Linked DNA regions of Callithrix jacchus. The protein of the gene in region 1 binds, or shares a complex with, the protein of each later gene. Links are inferred from orthologs where the notes say so. Each region holds a gene or a part of one and is shown on either strand. Other genes may lie near its edges.

Region 1 (7,751 bases):
ACAATGTCAACATTCTGTGACACAGGAAATCCCAGAAGGTTGGTGGTAGAATGCCCAAAAGAGTTCAGCTGCCAAGACTAAAATGGAAAGTATGGGTCTAATGGATGGGATAAAACTTAGCCAGCCTTGCTTTTGAGTAGCTCATCAGCCACAGAATTACAGAACTGAGAGGGACCTTGGAAATTGTGTGGGCAAGTCCCCAAATTTCCTAACCAACAAAGAGCCACCAAATGGGACATGTGGTGATTGTTCTTTTCTTGTCAGGGATGAGGACCCCATGGTGTTTTAATTTTTGTGTTTGTAGTGGGTGGAGATCCCTACATAGTTAGCTGGGCACTGGTCTTCCTAAAAGGCTTCCATATGTATCAGAGTTTGGTAACTTATAGCCTATGGGCCAAAATTAGCCTGGTACCTGCTTTTGGGTAAAGTTTTATTGGAACACAGCCTCATACATTGTTTTTGTATTGTCTATGGCTACTTTTGCACTACAATGGCAGAGTTCAATAGTCACAACAGAGAGCATATGGCCTTCAAAGCTTAAAATAGTTATTATCTGTCTGACCCTTTACAGAATAAGCTTGCTGACTTCTGTTCTCAGCAACAAAACCTGACAAGGTCAATAAGACAGCCATAAACCAAGAAGGTCACAGCAGTCGATTTTGAGTATATGGTCCTCTGTAAAGAGGAATGGGAGAAAATGAATCCTGGAACTAGAGTGGTTGCCTTAGTCTTATACCCCTAGCACTACTCTTATACCCCTAGCACCTGGCATGAAGTATGGTACATACAACTCACTCAAGAATGTTTATGAAACAACTCTGTAAAAGTCTTAGAAGCACACTTCTAATCTTAGTCTTGGAAGCATACCTCCAAATACTGTCATGTTGACTTCCTATCTGAAGTTACAGTGAGCCCAAAGCTTCTGCATACTTGTCTCAGGTAATGAGCATATAAGGAAGCCCTGAAGGCATTTGCCATCAGATTCTCAAAGGGATCCACAGCACCAAAGATGCTAAGGACCACCAATTTAGAAATTCTCTGTCATCTTTGGCAGCATTTCACCAAGTATATACTTAATTCATGATCTCAGTGAGTCCCTGTTGCAGATTATAATCTTTTAATATTTTCCTTTAACTTGCTCTGATTATTTTGCACTTATTATCTATTTTAGACTTATCCTAAGCAACATCATTCATAAAAGGAGAGATTTGAGGTGATACTTATGTGTGTTTGCTAAAATCCACATGAAATGATTTCACATAATTAATAGCTTTCTATGGGTACCACCTAAAATCATCTTACACATTGTCAGTGGGAAATGCTAACCTACTGAATGAATTTAAACTCCCTGGCATGGCTCTCAAGGTCAGCTATATCTGGGTCTTAGCCTCCAGATCAGCCATGGCTTCCATAAATGCATGGAACATTGTGATCACTCAATAATATTTGTGAACAATTGAATGGATTTGTAAACCCTTCTGTTTCAACTACATTGACATCTTTACCACCTGTCAAACATTCTTTTTTCCCCTGTAATTTTCACCTTTTCACATGTTCTTCTGACCCTTGGAAAGCCCTTTCACCTCACCTCCACCTATCCAACTCTGACATCTATAAAAGCCTCCCTTCCTTACTTCTCTTTCTGAAAGTTCCCTCCCTCCCCTCTGAATCACTTGAGCACTTTATATCTCCTTTGATCCTTGTCATTTACAACCTTGTATTTCAGTCATCTTTTTATGAATGGATTTTCCCAACTAGACTCCCATCCTCCTGGTATGAATGGCTCAAAACTCCCTTCTATGTCTCTATCCTACTATAAGGGCTTAAACAGAGGTAGTGCTTTAAAAATATTGATTAGCTGATGATTTTAGGCATCAGATTAAATTGATTTATGGGCATGACATATGACCTTAATCCATCATCAAGCTCTTAAGTCAGTGGCTTAGGATTTATTCTCCCAGTCTAAGAAGGGAGGAGACTTGTCTCCCCATGGACAGGGAACATGAGAAGACCCAAAATGGAGGAATAGGCTGGTTGTTCTACCCAGGAGAGAAGTATAGAATAAAAGCTCACTGTAGTAGGAGGAAGGCAGTAAAGCATACAAGGAAGCTTTTGGTGCTAATGGATAAATTCATGATCTTGATTGTGCTGATGATTTCAATGAATGTTTACAGAGGTCAAAACCTTTCCAATTATACACTTTAAATATGTACAATTATACTTTTATACATCAATATTTTTATATGTCTTATTTTCTATAAGTAAATTATGCCTCAATAAAACTGTTTTGAAAAAGTAAGTTCACTGGGAAGTTTTGTGAATGTGCAAATGCAGTAAGCAGTAAATGGAAGAGTTACATTTCAGGGCAAGAGAACTAATGTTTGTTGACAAATTTCTCATGCCAGGTGCTTTGCAAGCATGATCTTCTCTGGTTCTCACAATGACCCCACAATGCAGGTATTGATTCTCTACCCATTTTGCACCAGAAGAAATCAAGCCCTGATGCAGAGAACTGACTTCCCCAGATGACAAGGTGATAAAGGAACAGTGCTAGGAATTGAGGGCATGCTTTTTTCACATTGGAGGTGGCACTTTTTTCCCAAGATGAGATAGGTTTTGACTTTTTTTTTTTTTTGTCTTTGTCTCCTAGGGAGCTGCATTAAGCAGACCCAAAGAGTCAGAAAAGAGGCAATAGTAGCTAGCAAGGCATGCCCTGTGCAGTGATTTCTGTCCTCAGGCTGCACAGTTGTTTACTGGAGATGTGTTCCTGCCCTCAATAATCTCCAGGATTAATAAGTACAGTAAACTCCAGATACTGACCTGAGTTATCCAGATACTCTTTGAGAGAAGTAGGAACTGAAAACTTTTCTACTTTTCTGGGGATGCAAATAACATTTTCTCACCCATACCCTAGTTCACCTGAACCAGACACTTAGGGCTCAGTTTTGAGAAGTATTGGGGTGGGGGGGATTCTCACAGGAGGAGGTTATTCATTTTCAATTCAGACTCACCTCCAAAAGGAATCTGTAATCTCAGCTTGCCATTTCCATGAGAAAGATGTTATGAAATAGAACTTTTGGCGGCCAACTCAATTTTAAAGGCAAACAACATCTTAGGGACTAAGGAATACCCACTCAGCATTTATTCCAGCAGCTAGAATATTAAGTAACTCATTAGTAATCACTGAAGTTTGATCAGCACTTCATAGCAAATGGAGTACTTTCTTACCTGTAACCTCTTTTGAATCACTCAACTTTTTTATGCAGGTATTATTACCCCCGCTTTACAGATGAGGAAATTGAGAGTCTGAGACATGAGCTAATTATTCACAACCACTAAGCCAACCAGCTCTCAAAATTCCATATCCTGAGCTGTTTCTTCACCACTGCCTTTCTTCTTTCAAGAACATCTGGCCAATATTAATCAGAAGCCTCTTTTGTACCTGGTTAGTGACTATAATGGTATAATTGGCAAATATTAAAGAATTAGTTATTTGGACCTTCAGCTTCTATCATAGGTATCTAGATATCAGGATTTTCTTTCCCCTGATAGGATCAAATTAAGCTATTAAGAAAAAAAATTAACTCATTAGATTTAGCTACCAAATTTAAACACCTAGGAGAAGAAAACACACTTTTCTCACCAATAATTCAATCTTGTACATCACTCTTCATGAAGATGGAAATGATGAGCTGGATGATTAATGGGCCAATCACACTTCCTGGAAACTGTAAACAGTGCTTTAAGGATGTACATGACACATCAAACAACACAGCCTTAGGAAGAATCTCTAAAATATATTTCCATACTGTTTGAACATTTCTTAAACAACATCACAAAATAAAAACATCAAAAGTTTGAACAAAACACACATCACAACTTGATGTTTTTTGACTGTTTTTATTCTTTTTATTCTAAGTGGAAGTTGAGAAATTTTTTAGTTAATTAAACACCTAGGCAACCAAGGCCTATCTGGAAAATGGCAAAGATACGGCAACATTAATGCTTTGTATTACTTGGTGTTCAAATTAACATTTTTTAAAAGAACCCAATTATAATGTCAAATTGATAGGTGTTTTGTGGCTTTGGGTTGTTTGTAAAAGATGTTTGTAAGTATTTTTGAGGTTCTGAAATGACTGCATAAATAGTATAGACCAAATCGTACCTTGTTTTTGTGTATCCATATGTATTTAACATCCTTATATAGATGTATTTACCTTTACCTATATCATTCCCAGGCATTGTAAATTTACTTATTGTGTCTTGAAAAAATTCCAAGCCAAATTTCATCAGCAAAAACTTACCTTCATTCTTGAAACTCCTAATGATGTTGGCAGAGGGCATGGAGGTTCGATCTGTTGCAAATTTGTTATAGAGTTCCAGCATGTACTCTGGTGGGTCTACCTTGGCTGAATCCTCCGTGGGGATGTCAGACAGGTTTAGTGTCTTGAGAAACTCATTCTTCATGCTCTGGAGCAATGTGCTAAAGTCAACACCATCTTGCTCTGAGAAAACATCATCAAAGAGGGGCACATCTTCTTCTAGAGGAGACTGGTCTAGGCTCATGATGGGGCTGCCAGAAACCAAGTGAGCCACCAGGCAGAGAAGAGTGCACAGTGTCAGGACCGGAGAGCCCATGACTCCGCTCAAGCCCCTAGGCCAAGCCAGGAAGGTTTAGCTCTCCTGGGCTCTAAGTGGCAGTTTTATCTTGTGGGGCGTAATTGTCTCCTGTCACTGGAGACAAGTTTGGAAACTCTTCCTCTCTCTCTTCCTCCCCCTACCACTCTTCCTCTCCCCCTAAAAGTCAGGTTGCAGTAATTGGATAACAAAATCCCCTATAGGGGCCTAGCCTTTCTTATCTCCCTAGTGTAAACTTGTGCACCAGAATTTGTTTCTATCTTGTAATCCCTATTTCTTTTAATGAGCATTTTGTAAACATTTTCACATTCTGACACTGGTTGAAAGATAGGACAATTTTCTCCTTGCAAAGGCTCTGCTTCTCTTCCCTTTGATTCACTTCCTTTCAGCAGGAATGTCTAAATTCCGTTTTTATAGGCTTAGTTTCACACATACATATAATAGGTATAAGAAGCAACATAATGCACATCAGTTAATAGGTATAAGAAGCAACATAATGCACATCAGTGGTGATACATATCAATTTGAGTGGTAGGGCCTACATCCTCAAATAAATACTTCTGAAGACAGATCAAATGTCCAAACTTTCATTCAGCTATAAATGAATTTATATAAATTTTTCCAAGCATTCATTTTTAGAAACAAGAAAGTATAAACTTTATGATCCATAGTCTCTTTCCTACCTATTTGATCTGGCTAAAATGGCATTTGAAAAATAGGGCAAGTCCTTAATTATAGTGGCAACTAAAATTTAGTAGATGTTCCTACAATCAGGCATTGTACTGAGTGCTTTACGTCTATCGTCTAGCATGCTCCTGCAATAACCCTATCACTATCTCCATCACATATATGGGTCAGTAAGGTTCCATAGATTGCCAGAGGCCAAAAAGTTGTAAGATGATGGAGCCACTGTTTGAACCAAGGCAGTCTGATTCTGATGAAAAAGAAAACAGTTCACACCTTTAAACCACTTATATTTCACCAGACTAGGGCATGGGCAATAATGGTGAGAGGCCAACCCATCCCCAGATCAGCCTGGAGGCAGGAGGCAGACAGCAGTTTGCAGCTGGATGTGTACCTCAGGTCCTCCACCTGTGCAAAGAATTCTTAATATGACCAGCATCTCTGCCAACTTCGTCCTTCTGACTCAATCAGAATTGTCATCTAGAGGCTCCAGCAAAAGCTTGGTGTGATGGTTAATACTGATTGTCAACTTGATTGGATTGCAAGATGCAAAATATTGATCCTGGGTTTGTCTGTGAGGGCGTTGCCAAAGAAGATTGACATTTGAGTCAGTGGGCTGGGGAAGGCAGACCCACCCTTAATCTGGGTGGGCATCATCTAATCAGCCACCAGTGAGGCTAGAATATAAAGCAGGCAGAAAAATGTGAAAAGACTAGACTGGCCTAACCACCCAGCCTACATTTTTGTCCTGTGCTGGATGCTTCCTGCTCTCAAACATCAGATTCCAAGTTCTTCAATTTTGAGACTTGGACTGGCTCTCCTTGCTCCTCAGCTTGTGCACAGCCTATTGTGGGACCTTGTGATCGTGTGAGTTAATACTTAATAAACTCCCATATATATGTGTGTGTGTGTGTGTGTGTGTGTGTGTGTGTGTGTGTGTGTGTGTGGACGTTGAGTCAAATCTCTGTCCCTCTAGAGAACTCTGACTAATACACTTCGCAAACATTACCAGGCACACAAAAAATGCCAAATGCCTTGGTCCTAAAAATTTTTTAATGGTATAGTTGATTGTGTGTACAGATTAGGAAAGACAAATCAGGTTCATCACATTTTCCACCCTAACTAGTGACAGTAGCAGCCGTGGTACAGCCAGAGTGGCCCTGTGGACAACCCCAGGGGATGTTTCTCCCCCTGAGGTGGTAGTACTGGTATCTTTCTGACTTGCCCAGTGCGCACCCTGTTCCATTACTGATACATCCTGTGCTGTTCAGAGGGCTCTGTGGAGATACTCAGTTCACTGGAATGCTTTCTCAGTTTCTATCTTAAATTATCCTATGTTGATTCTAATTGATTAGCTACAATGTTTCCACTTGGCTTTTCCTCCAGGCTCCCTTAGGTTTCTAGTCATCTTCTGATTCTTTTTCCTCCTAAAATGTACAGTGTTACAGCCATTTTTTTATCACCATAGAAAGAACCATATTTTGTTTAGTAGCTATTAATTGTCCATTTGTTTAATAGCTGTTGATTTTGGTTTAATGTTCGATTTTGATTCAAACTTTTGCTCCCGTAGTGAAAAGACAACTGTAGACTGGAGACAGATTATATCCTGAATAGTCCCACAAGTGAGTGAGTCCAAGGGCCAGAAGCCTTCCCTCGGATGGTTTGTTTTAACATGAGGTTCCTGACAGCATACCAACAATGCCTTGTATCATGTCTTGCATCCAAGTAAGCACCCATTTATCTTTATACACACACAGATGTCAACGCACACTCCAAAACTCTGAATGTCAGGCATGTGTGTGTAACTGCCACAGGACAGCTGTGTAAGTGGAGGCACATATAACCTCTGAGCACACTGATTTCAAAGGTCATAGGGAGAGACATACATCCCACATTGCAGAGTTCTAGTTCTTGACGCTCTTGGGCATAAAAACGTTAACTGAGACTTCAGTGGCTTACCTATACTTGGTGTTAGAAAAACTAAAGGGTTAAATATTTGGATCCATGTTTATCTTTGGGGATGATTAAGAGATACAGTGGGGAAATGACTATAGCCATAGGAAAATGACTATAGCCATATATCAGATATCGCAAGATATCAGAATATCATGAGATGCATGCTCGGTGAAGGTTCTTAAACCCACACCTGTGCTGGGTGGACAAGGAAAGAGGTTGGCTTCATGCTTGGAAGAAGGGGACATACTCTCCCTCCTTCTTCTAGGCCTGGGACACCTCACATCTTAGTCACAGAGTCTCTTTATGCCATGTTTTTCTCTAGAAGCTTTTTCTGATGACTCTTTTTTTTTTTTTTTTTTTTTTGAGGCAGAGTTTCGCTCTTGTTACCCAGGCTGGAGTTCAATGGCACGATCTTGGCTCACTGCAACGTCCACCTCCTGGGTTCAGGCAATTCTCCTGCCTTAGCCTCCTGA
Region 2 (7,639 bases), on another chromosome or scaffold:
AGCTCTGCACCCCTGCTGCGGAGCTCAGACTGGAGGCAGGTTGGGAGGGCCGCAGGGAGTAACCAGTTGGGGTAGAAGGAGCATCTCTCCAGCAGCTCCCCTTCTGTTCTGTGTCCCTTGCCCACCCCCTCACAGCCTCCACCCCTGCCTACCCTTTCCCAGTGCCCCCCCAGCCCTGGCTGCCTCACACATAAACAGGCTCCTGTCTTCACTTCCTGCCATTCAGGGTCCTGCCAAGTCAGGAACAGGAATCAAGATTGTTTAGATTGGGGTCTGGATAGACCAGACAGGAGTCACGCACAGCCGTGAACTGAGGGCATATTTTCGGGGCAGGCTGCAGCAGCCACAAGGTCTGGAGGGGCTACTTAAATACTTAGTTCCCTGCTTCCCTTAGTTGCTTGTGCCTGGGACACCCACATGACAGAATTCTAGGTGGACATCTTGTGAATCACAAATTCCAGCTCCTTGTTTTCACAGAAGAGAGGATTAAGGCCCATACAGGGAAGAAGACTTGTCTGGGGTCAGACAGGACTCACTGGCACCAGCAGGAGTACAACCCAGGTTTCCAGACTCCTAGTCCCATCCCTACCCAGTGCTGGCAGCCCATGTCTGAGCCCTCAGGGTTGTGACGACCGCGCAAAGCTTGGACGGCGCAGGGTCACGCCACGTGCAGAGGAACCTCTCTGCAGCCTCACAGGAGCATAAGCTCTCTGAGCCGTTCCCTGGCCCCCTTCTCTCTCCTTGCCATCTAGGAAAGGGTGGGGGAGGCCCAGTGATGTGGCAGGGGAAGTGAAACACACTTAGACACTGAATGTTTGACCTTCTATGGCTGACTAGGGTTGAATTTTCCAGAAGTTTGGTGGAGATTGTTGCCTGGAATAATTCTGGTCTAGGATCATCCCCAATCCAGGTCCCACACCAACTAGTGCTTCTGAAGCCACCCAGTCTTCATTTCTCCGAGGTTTAAAACCAGAAGATATGGGTTAAAGCTGCAGCAAGAAGGACCCTGGTCAGACAGCAGCAAGAACTTTCTGAATGGTGGCACATGTGCAGGTGTGTGTGTCTGGGGACTGGATCCTCAGGCACAAGGGAGGAAGACTGTCCTTTGGCATGACGTGGTGAGGCTGGTAGGGCTGGGCATATGGCCACAGAAGCTTCAGAAGGCCTATAGTTTACGAATGGTGCCAAATGAAAACCCAAGACGCTGAGGCGCCGAGGGCAGTATGGCTGGGGGTAGGTGGTGGGGGCTTCTTGGGGCTCTCTAGCTGGTGGCAGCTCTGGCCTTCCTGCCTGGGCTTCCTCTGCCCCAGAGGCCCAGGCTGGGAAAGGAAACAGAGCCCTGGGCTGCTGCAGCTGTGTCCCCAGACTCTGCCTGACCTCCTGCCTCTTGCCCCTCCCGCAGCCAGTGAGGACTCTGGTGAGCACTGTGCGGCGGACTGGAGGTGGGATGGGATGGAGAGAGCGCCCCAGAGGAGCTGAGTCTGCTCACTGGGGTACTAGCAGCAAGCCATCCTTGGCAGCCTGTGCTAGCCCAGGAAGCTGCAAAGGAGAGGGTTTGAGGTGAGAAGAAAAAAGTGACTAACAATAAGGCTCACATCCAGCATCCCTCTAGGACCCTCTGTCCGTACCTCTGCTTCTCTGATGACCATGGCCCTGTCCACCCTCCTTCTACGTTATCACACATCAGAATCACCTGAAGTTCTCAATTAGAAAAGCACATTCACTGGTCTCAACCTCACTCCAGATTCTGATTCAGTCCTGGAACCAGCAAGAAACACACACTTTTTTAGAAGTTCCCCAGGGAGTTCTGCTCCATTTGTGTGGGCACCACTCTTTGAGAAACAGATCCTGCACAACGTGAAGTCTGGTTCCTCTGCTTTCATTTTGCTCTGCAGGGCCCTGCTGGGTAGTGGGAGTGGGATGCAGAGGGAGGGGACACTCACTCCCACCCAGGAACCTCCCCATCTCCTAGAGGAGAAGGGACAGCCGGGGCTAACACCAAAGCCGGGACTTGGTGGCGCTGTGGAGCAAGGCTTGGCTGCGTCTGCAGACCCATCAATGGTCTCATCCTGGGAATATGATGGAGTCAAATTGGAACAGCCCAATGTTTAACTGGGCCCAGTGTGAGGTCAAGTACGGGAGGGTGCTGAGTCCTGACCAGTCCAAACTCAGAGCTGACCCTGTGCAATTTGCCCTGAAACCTGACCGTAGCACAAACAGACTCCTGGGGTCTGGCGGGATCCTTTCACTTCTGAGCAAAACTTTGAGAAAAATCGCCTGCTGACAGAAGCATCACTGTTGTTGGCCAGAAATTACAAACGTTAAACTAATTTCAAACATTAGCTAAACACCATGAAATAATAACAGTTAACCTTCTCTGAGTACTAATTATGTGCTAAGTACTGAACTTTAATGGTTTATCTGATTTGATCATTGCAACAATCCAATGGGGGAAACTGAGGCTCGAAGATGTTAAGTCTCTTGCCTATAGTCACCAAGCGTGTCTTAATAAAGTTAAATTGCTGATAAATCCTTCCTTGGTTGTTGTTATTCCTCCAATTGTTTAGATGAATCCCTCGAAGGAAGAAAAAGACGTGGGTTTTGGTGGACACAAACAAATTGTCCGCTGCTGTTATTAACAGATGCCCTACTTAGATTTGTTTAAATGCAGACAGTGTTTTTGTTTGTTTTTAATTTTTCTTGAGACAGGGTCTTGCTCAGTCACCCAAGCTGGACTACAATGGTATAGTCATAGCTCACTGCAGCCTTGAACTCCTGGGCTCAAGTGAGCCTCCCACCTCAGCCTCCCAAGTAGCTAGGACTACAGGGGTGCAGCACCATGCCCAGTTAATCTTTTACTTTTTGGTAGAGACAGGGTCTCACTATGTTGCCCCAGGCAACAAAGATGGGTTGCTGCCTAGAAATCATCTGATTGCCATAGGCTTCGTCAAAGTTTGAGCCTCAGGTGGGGGGAGCCAGAGTAGTGGCATGCCTTAAAGTTGCTTATCCACCTTTTTCTCCGCAGCACACCTGAAGGACCCACTCCCATCAGTGGCAGTGGCTCAGCACAGCAGTGATTGTCACAGGGCTGGAGAAGCACCATGTCAAGCACAAGCTTCTGGGCTCACTCTGCACTTCAGTAGACCTTATCCCAACAGCAGAGGACCAGACCCAGCTGTTCATATTGGGTTTCCCTCACAATTCATCCATGTGATTTATTAGCCCCTCACAGCAGGGTGATGCAGCAGAACAAGGCTGGAGTTTCAGGTCTCAGGCAGACCACAGGGGCAGCACAGTATAGCACAGAGGTTAAGGTGTAGGCTTTGGACCATGGAGGCTTAGGTTCAAGTCCTGCCTTTGCCACTTAGAGGTATGAGATTTGAGACAAGTTACTTAAACTTTCTGAGGCTAAGGCTTCCCATCATATGTAAAATGGGAATAATAACAGTGTTATCTCATAGGTAAAATGTAGTAAGATTATTTAGCAGAGTACTAAGTAGTACACAGTAAGCACTTAAATGTTATCAAGACCCCAACCATGCCATTTACCCCACTATCCAAGGAGCTTCGGAGAAGTTATTCAAGTCTGTTTCCTTTCTGTAGGATGGGCATAGTAACCCCTTTTCCACTAGGTTGTGGCCAGGATTACATGAGAAAAAACATATCTAAGTGTTTACTAGTAAGTAATCAATCAATGATAGCTATTTCTAACAAACCAATGAAATGGGAGGACAGGCGAATGGACAGGTATTAGGACAGACCCTGACTCAGCCAGCAGGTGCCCATCAATAGAGAGGGTGAGAGCAATTGTCCATGATGCCCCCATCCTTGGAGAAGGAAAGAGGAGCTGGGGCAGCCAGACCAGCCATGGGTTTCGCCGCACTGGCCTCCAGGACAGGTGGGAAATCTGGGGTCCCAGCCTGGAGGGAGACTGGGATCGCCTTTGGCTGGGATCCTGAAGGAAGGCCGTGGCATGGAGATGACCTGAGGATGCAGGGCTGGGGTGAGGCTCGTGGATTGTAGTGATAGTGTCAGATTCCTGAAGCAAACAGCTGCAAGGGCTGGTCTGGGAAAGGTGAGCTCTGCGGGGAGGCTCACCAGCTGTGGACGCGGGCATTCACTCCAGGTCCACCCAGAGGCCTGGCAGAACGTGTGATCCCTTCTATGTGAGTAGAGCAAGACATGAATCCCTCTGCGCATTTTATGGAGAGGGTAGGAGAATAGAGAAGTGATGTGACTGAAGCCAGGTCACCCGACTAGAGCCAAGTTTCTGATTTCCAGTCCGGTCTCGTCCAGCTCCCTCCAAGTCTCAGGTAGGGTCACCGGCAGCTGTGCGCAGTCAGCCAGGGGCAGCTTGCGTTCCTGATGACCTGGGACTGATCCTACTGCGACCACTCTGCGGGGACTCGGGTCCGCCCGAAGGAAGGGCCCACGGAAGCGGGGGTGAGGCCGCCCGCCACCCGGTCCCGCCCGCGGACCTCGACTCACCTCTGGGCCCGCTCTGCTGGTGGCGGGGCGCGAGCCTGCCGGCCGGGGCCACCTCCCCTCCACCGCGCGGCCACGGGTGCACGGCGAAAGCTGGACGGCGGGCCGGGTCCGGGCGCGGCTGGAACCGGGGAGGGGCTGGCTCGGCGCCGCTGGCCCTGCGGCCTCCCGGGACTGGAAAGGGGGCTGGAGCAAAAATATTTCTTATTCCAGCGTCTTCCTGCCTGGCCCGGCTCCACCACTCCCTCTTAATAAACCGTTTCCTTATTGCCCAACTCGCTGACTGGCCGCCGCTCGCCCCTCGCTGGGGCTGCAGGACCAAGACCCTCCCCCGCGCCGCTCCCAGCCCCCCGGCGCGGCCGCCCCTCCCAGCCGCCCGCAGCTCCTGGATCCGCTGACCCGCGCCGGGAGCCAAGCCTCCCACATCCGCCTCCCCGAGGGGGCGGGCCTTGGACTCGGTCCGTGAGGGTCCCGTGGGGGTCCCGTGGGGTCTGCGCCCACAGCTGTGGGAGCTAGAGCCAAGACTGTAGGCAACGTCTGGCGGCGGGAGTAGTGGGTGGGGGTAAAGGGCGGTCGGCTCACAGTAGCCAAGGGGCTGCCTGGAATCGGGGCGCGGGGAAGGGGCCACCAAGGAAGGGAGAGGCCGGGGTGGGACAGGGAGGGACACTACCTGTCCTTACCCCACCCTCAGTCCGGGGTCCTCGGTCTAGGAGGCTCGGAGCAGTGAGCGTAGAGTTTGGAGCTAGCAAAAGTTCAGATAAATTTTGGCTCCGCTCTCGAGAACTCCCTATTTGGCCCAAATCCTTCAGTCTCCTCCCTCAGGCCCCTTCATCCCCCATTTGTCCCCTCCTCTCTTCAGCAGCCTCTCCCCATTGGTGCTCAGCACAGGGGTATACAGGCCCAGAGGGAAGGCCTGGGGTTAGCCCTGAGGATGGTTGGTGCCCTTCCTTGCTGCTGTGCAGCTGGGTGACAAAGACACCCCTGCTCCCCCACGGACAGTCAGAATGGAGAAACACGTTGGGAGCTGCCTTGGACCTTCCCCTTCCAGGCGGGGCCCCCACCCCAGCAAATGGAACTTTAGATAGAGGTGGGGAACTGGGCCTCTCTGGAATACTGCTGACACAAGGCAGCTGGGGAGGGAAGCAGAATGGCTTCACACTGGCAGGGGAGGGGGACACAGACTCTTCCTCCTGGTGCCCCTGCACCGGCTGGGAGCACTGTCCTTACTGCCTTGCTTTGCTGCAACCGTCTGAGCACCTGCAGGACCCTGACCTTAGTCCTAGCCTCCTGGTTATCCACAGGGACTCTGAAGTCAAACTACCTACTAGGAATCCAGGCTGGTTGTGTTACCGTAGGCTAGTGAGCTAGTGACACCTCTCCATGCTTCAGTCCCCCATCTGCTAAATAGGCATAGTAAACGGTGCCAGCCTCATAGGGTGGTTGTGAGAATAGAAGGAAATGATGCTTATCTCAGCTCATGGCAAAGATGCTGGCTGGCTGAGCCTGACTCAGAGGAGGCCCTCAATGAAGGCATTTGTTAATTAAATGAATAAATGAAAAGGCTGGGGAGGGGGTGGCCTCAAAGATACTTAGAAAGATGTGGGTATTAGAAGCAGGAGTAGGTGGACCTCTAAGGTGTCTTGCTCTAATATGGGGATTCTGCAAGATGAGCCAGGGACCCCTCCCCCACCGACTTTTGACAGGAATAGAGGCTGGGGGAGATAATGGCTAAAGGCTCAGGCAGGCATCAATTATTGACTGACCTCACTTCCTCTGCTGAAGCCCCACCCCCCACCCTGCAGCTGCTTCACAAGTTGTGAATTCCCAGAACCCTGACACACCCAAATTTCAGTGTCAGGACAGAACTGTGTCCTGAGGCCAATAGGAAGTACTATGGGATTACGATATCTGCTCTTTCAGATTATAGTGGCCACTTGGGATCTCTATGAGCTGGAGAACTGGGAGCCTGGCTGCAGGTCTGTCTTTCACACTCCCTCCCTCCCCCTGCTCTGCTATGGCTTCTGGTCAACCTTTTCCTCTCCCAGCTGGTGAATCTCTGTCCTGGGAAGCGAGAGTGGGGGCTTCCAGAGGGAAGTTTTCAGTCTGAGAGGCACACTGAGCACAGAAACTTCAAGATGGACAACAGCTGAGAGTCACTTCTGACAGTCAGTGCGGGATGGAAGACTATCTGGACAGAGTTTGTGAAATAGATAAAAATAGAGTACATTTTGGGAGCTGGAAGAGAGGACCTGGGGGGCTGGGGACTGTTCATCAGTGCTGGAGTCTCCCCCACCTCCCCGGAGCACTAAGGCCTCTGGACCCTGACTGGTGCTCTTTGAGGCTCTTGTGAACCCCATGGCTTCTAAAGCACACAGAGATCCTGGGGGAAGTGTCAGAGTTAGAGACTCAGAGTTGGAGAAAGCGCTGGAGAATCATCCCAATGAGAAAAGGGAAAAGGAATTACGGAGTGTGTCCAAGTCTACAAGAATTAATGACTCAGAGGGACCAGCTGTTCCCCATATTCAATGAGGACAGAACAAGAGGAAACAGGCCCAAAGGACGAAGATTTAGATTTAGATACTCAGAAGGATTTCCCAACAGTGCCGGAAGCAGAGGCCTGGAGATTCTGTGTGGGGTGAAACTTCAGAAGATTCTCATCAGTGGAAGGCGGGTGACATGAATCTGTCAGGAAGGCAGGGCAATGGACACCTTGACCTTTCAGGACCAGCTATGAGTATTACGTTCAAGGATCATTCTTTTTTTTTTTTTTTTTTTGAGACAAAATCTCACAGTTTCACCCAGGCTGGAGTGCAGTGGTGTGTTAAATACAGTGAGTTCTAAATTTCTCTTCAAAGAATCAGTGTGTCAGTATGTTCAGTTCTTTGTTCTCCATTTGAAAGTTTAACTTCCTCATTCTCCTCATCCCCTTGCCCCTAGTTTCAGTAAACAACTTTTCTATCAGTTCCAATCAGTAGTTGACATCTGTTCCCCTGGTCACCTGCTCTGTCCTGAGTCACCCTGGTCACCTGCTCTGTCCTGAGTCACCTTGGTCACTTGCTGTGACCTGAGTCACCTTTAGTCACCTATTCAGTAACCTTCTTACCTGCTGAAACTGCTCACTCCGCCACTCTGGCTTGTACCCCTGCTCTCTTTA

What was found. The genes of interacting proteins can lie anywhere in the genome.
Region 2: the proteins of BMP10 (region 1) and ACVRL1 are in contact, whole or in part, in a crystal structure (PDB 6SF1), measured with the Homo sapiens proteins. The link is inferred for Callithrix jacchus from reciprocal best matches to the Homo sapiens genes BMP10 and ACVRL1. Residues at the interface, in NP_055297.1 of Homo sapiens: Tyr322, Asn357, Tyr358, Pro359, Ala361, Glu362, His363, Pro366, Thr367, Lys368, Ile371, Leu375, Leu378, Lys379, Ser381, Lys386; in NP_000011.2 of Homo sapiens: His40, Val54, Val56, Arg57, Glu58, Glu59, His66, Gly70, Asn71, Leu72, His73, Glu75, Leu76, Phe84, Val85, His87.

The regions. Positions count from the first base shown.
Region 1 is NC_133515.1:45,061,084-45,068,834, reverse strand, and holds the start of BMP10 (bone morphogenetic protein 10), read right to left. Parts: upstream 4,677-7,751; 5' UTR 4,639-4,676; coding exon 4,305-4,638; intron 1-4,304. UniProt on the Homo sapiens protein: Required for maintaining the proliferative activity of embryonic cardiomyocytes by preventing premature activation of the negative cell cycle regulator CDKN1C/p57KIP and maintaining the required expression levels of cardiogenic factors such as MEF2C and NKX2-5.
Region 2 is NC_133510.1:67,565,700-67,573,338, forward strand, and holds the start of ACVRL1 (activin receptor type-1-like), read right to left. Parts: upstream 4,662-7,639; 5' UTR 4,489-4,661; intron 1-4,488. UniProt on the Homo sapiens protein: Type I receptor for TGF-beta family ligands BMP9/GDF2 and BMP10 and important regulator of normal blood vessel development. On ligand binding, forms a receptor complex consisting of two type II and two type I transmembrane serine/threonine kinases.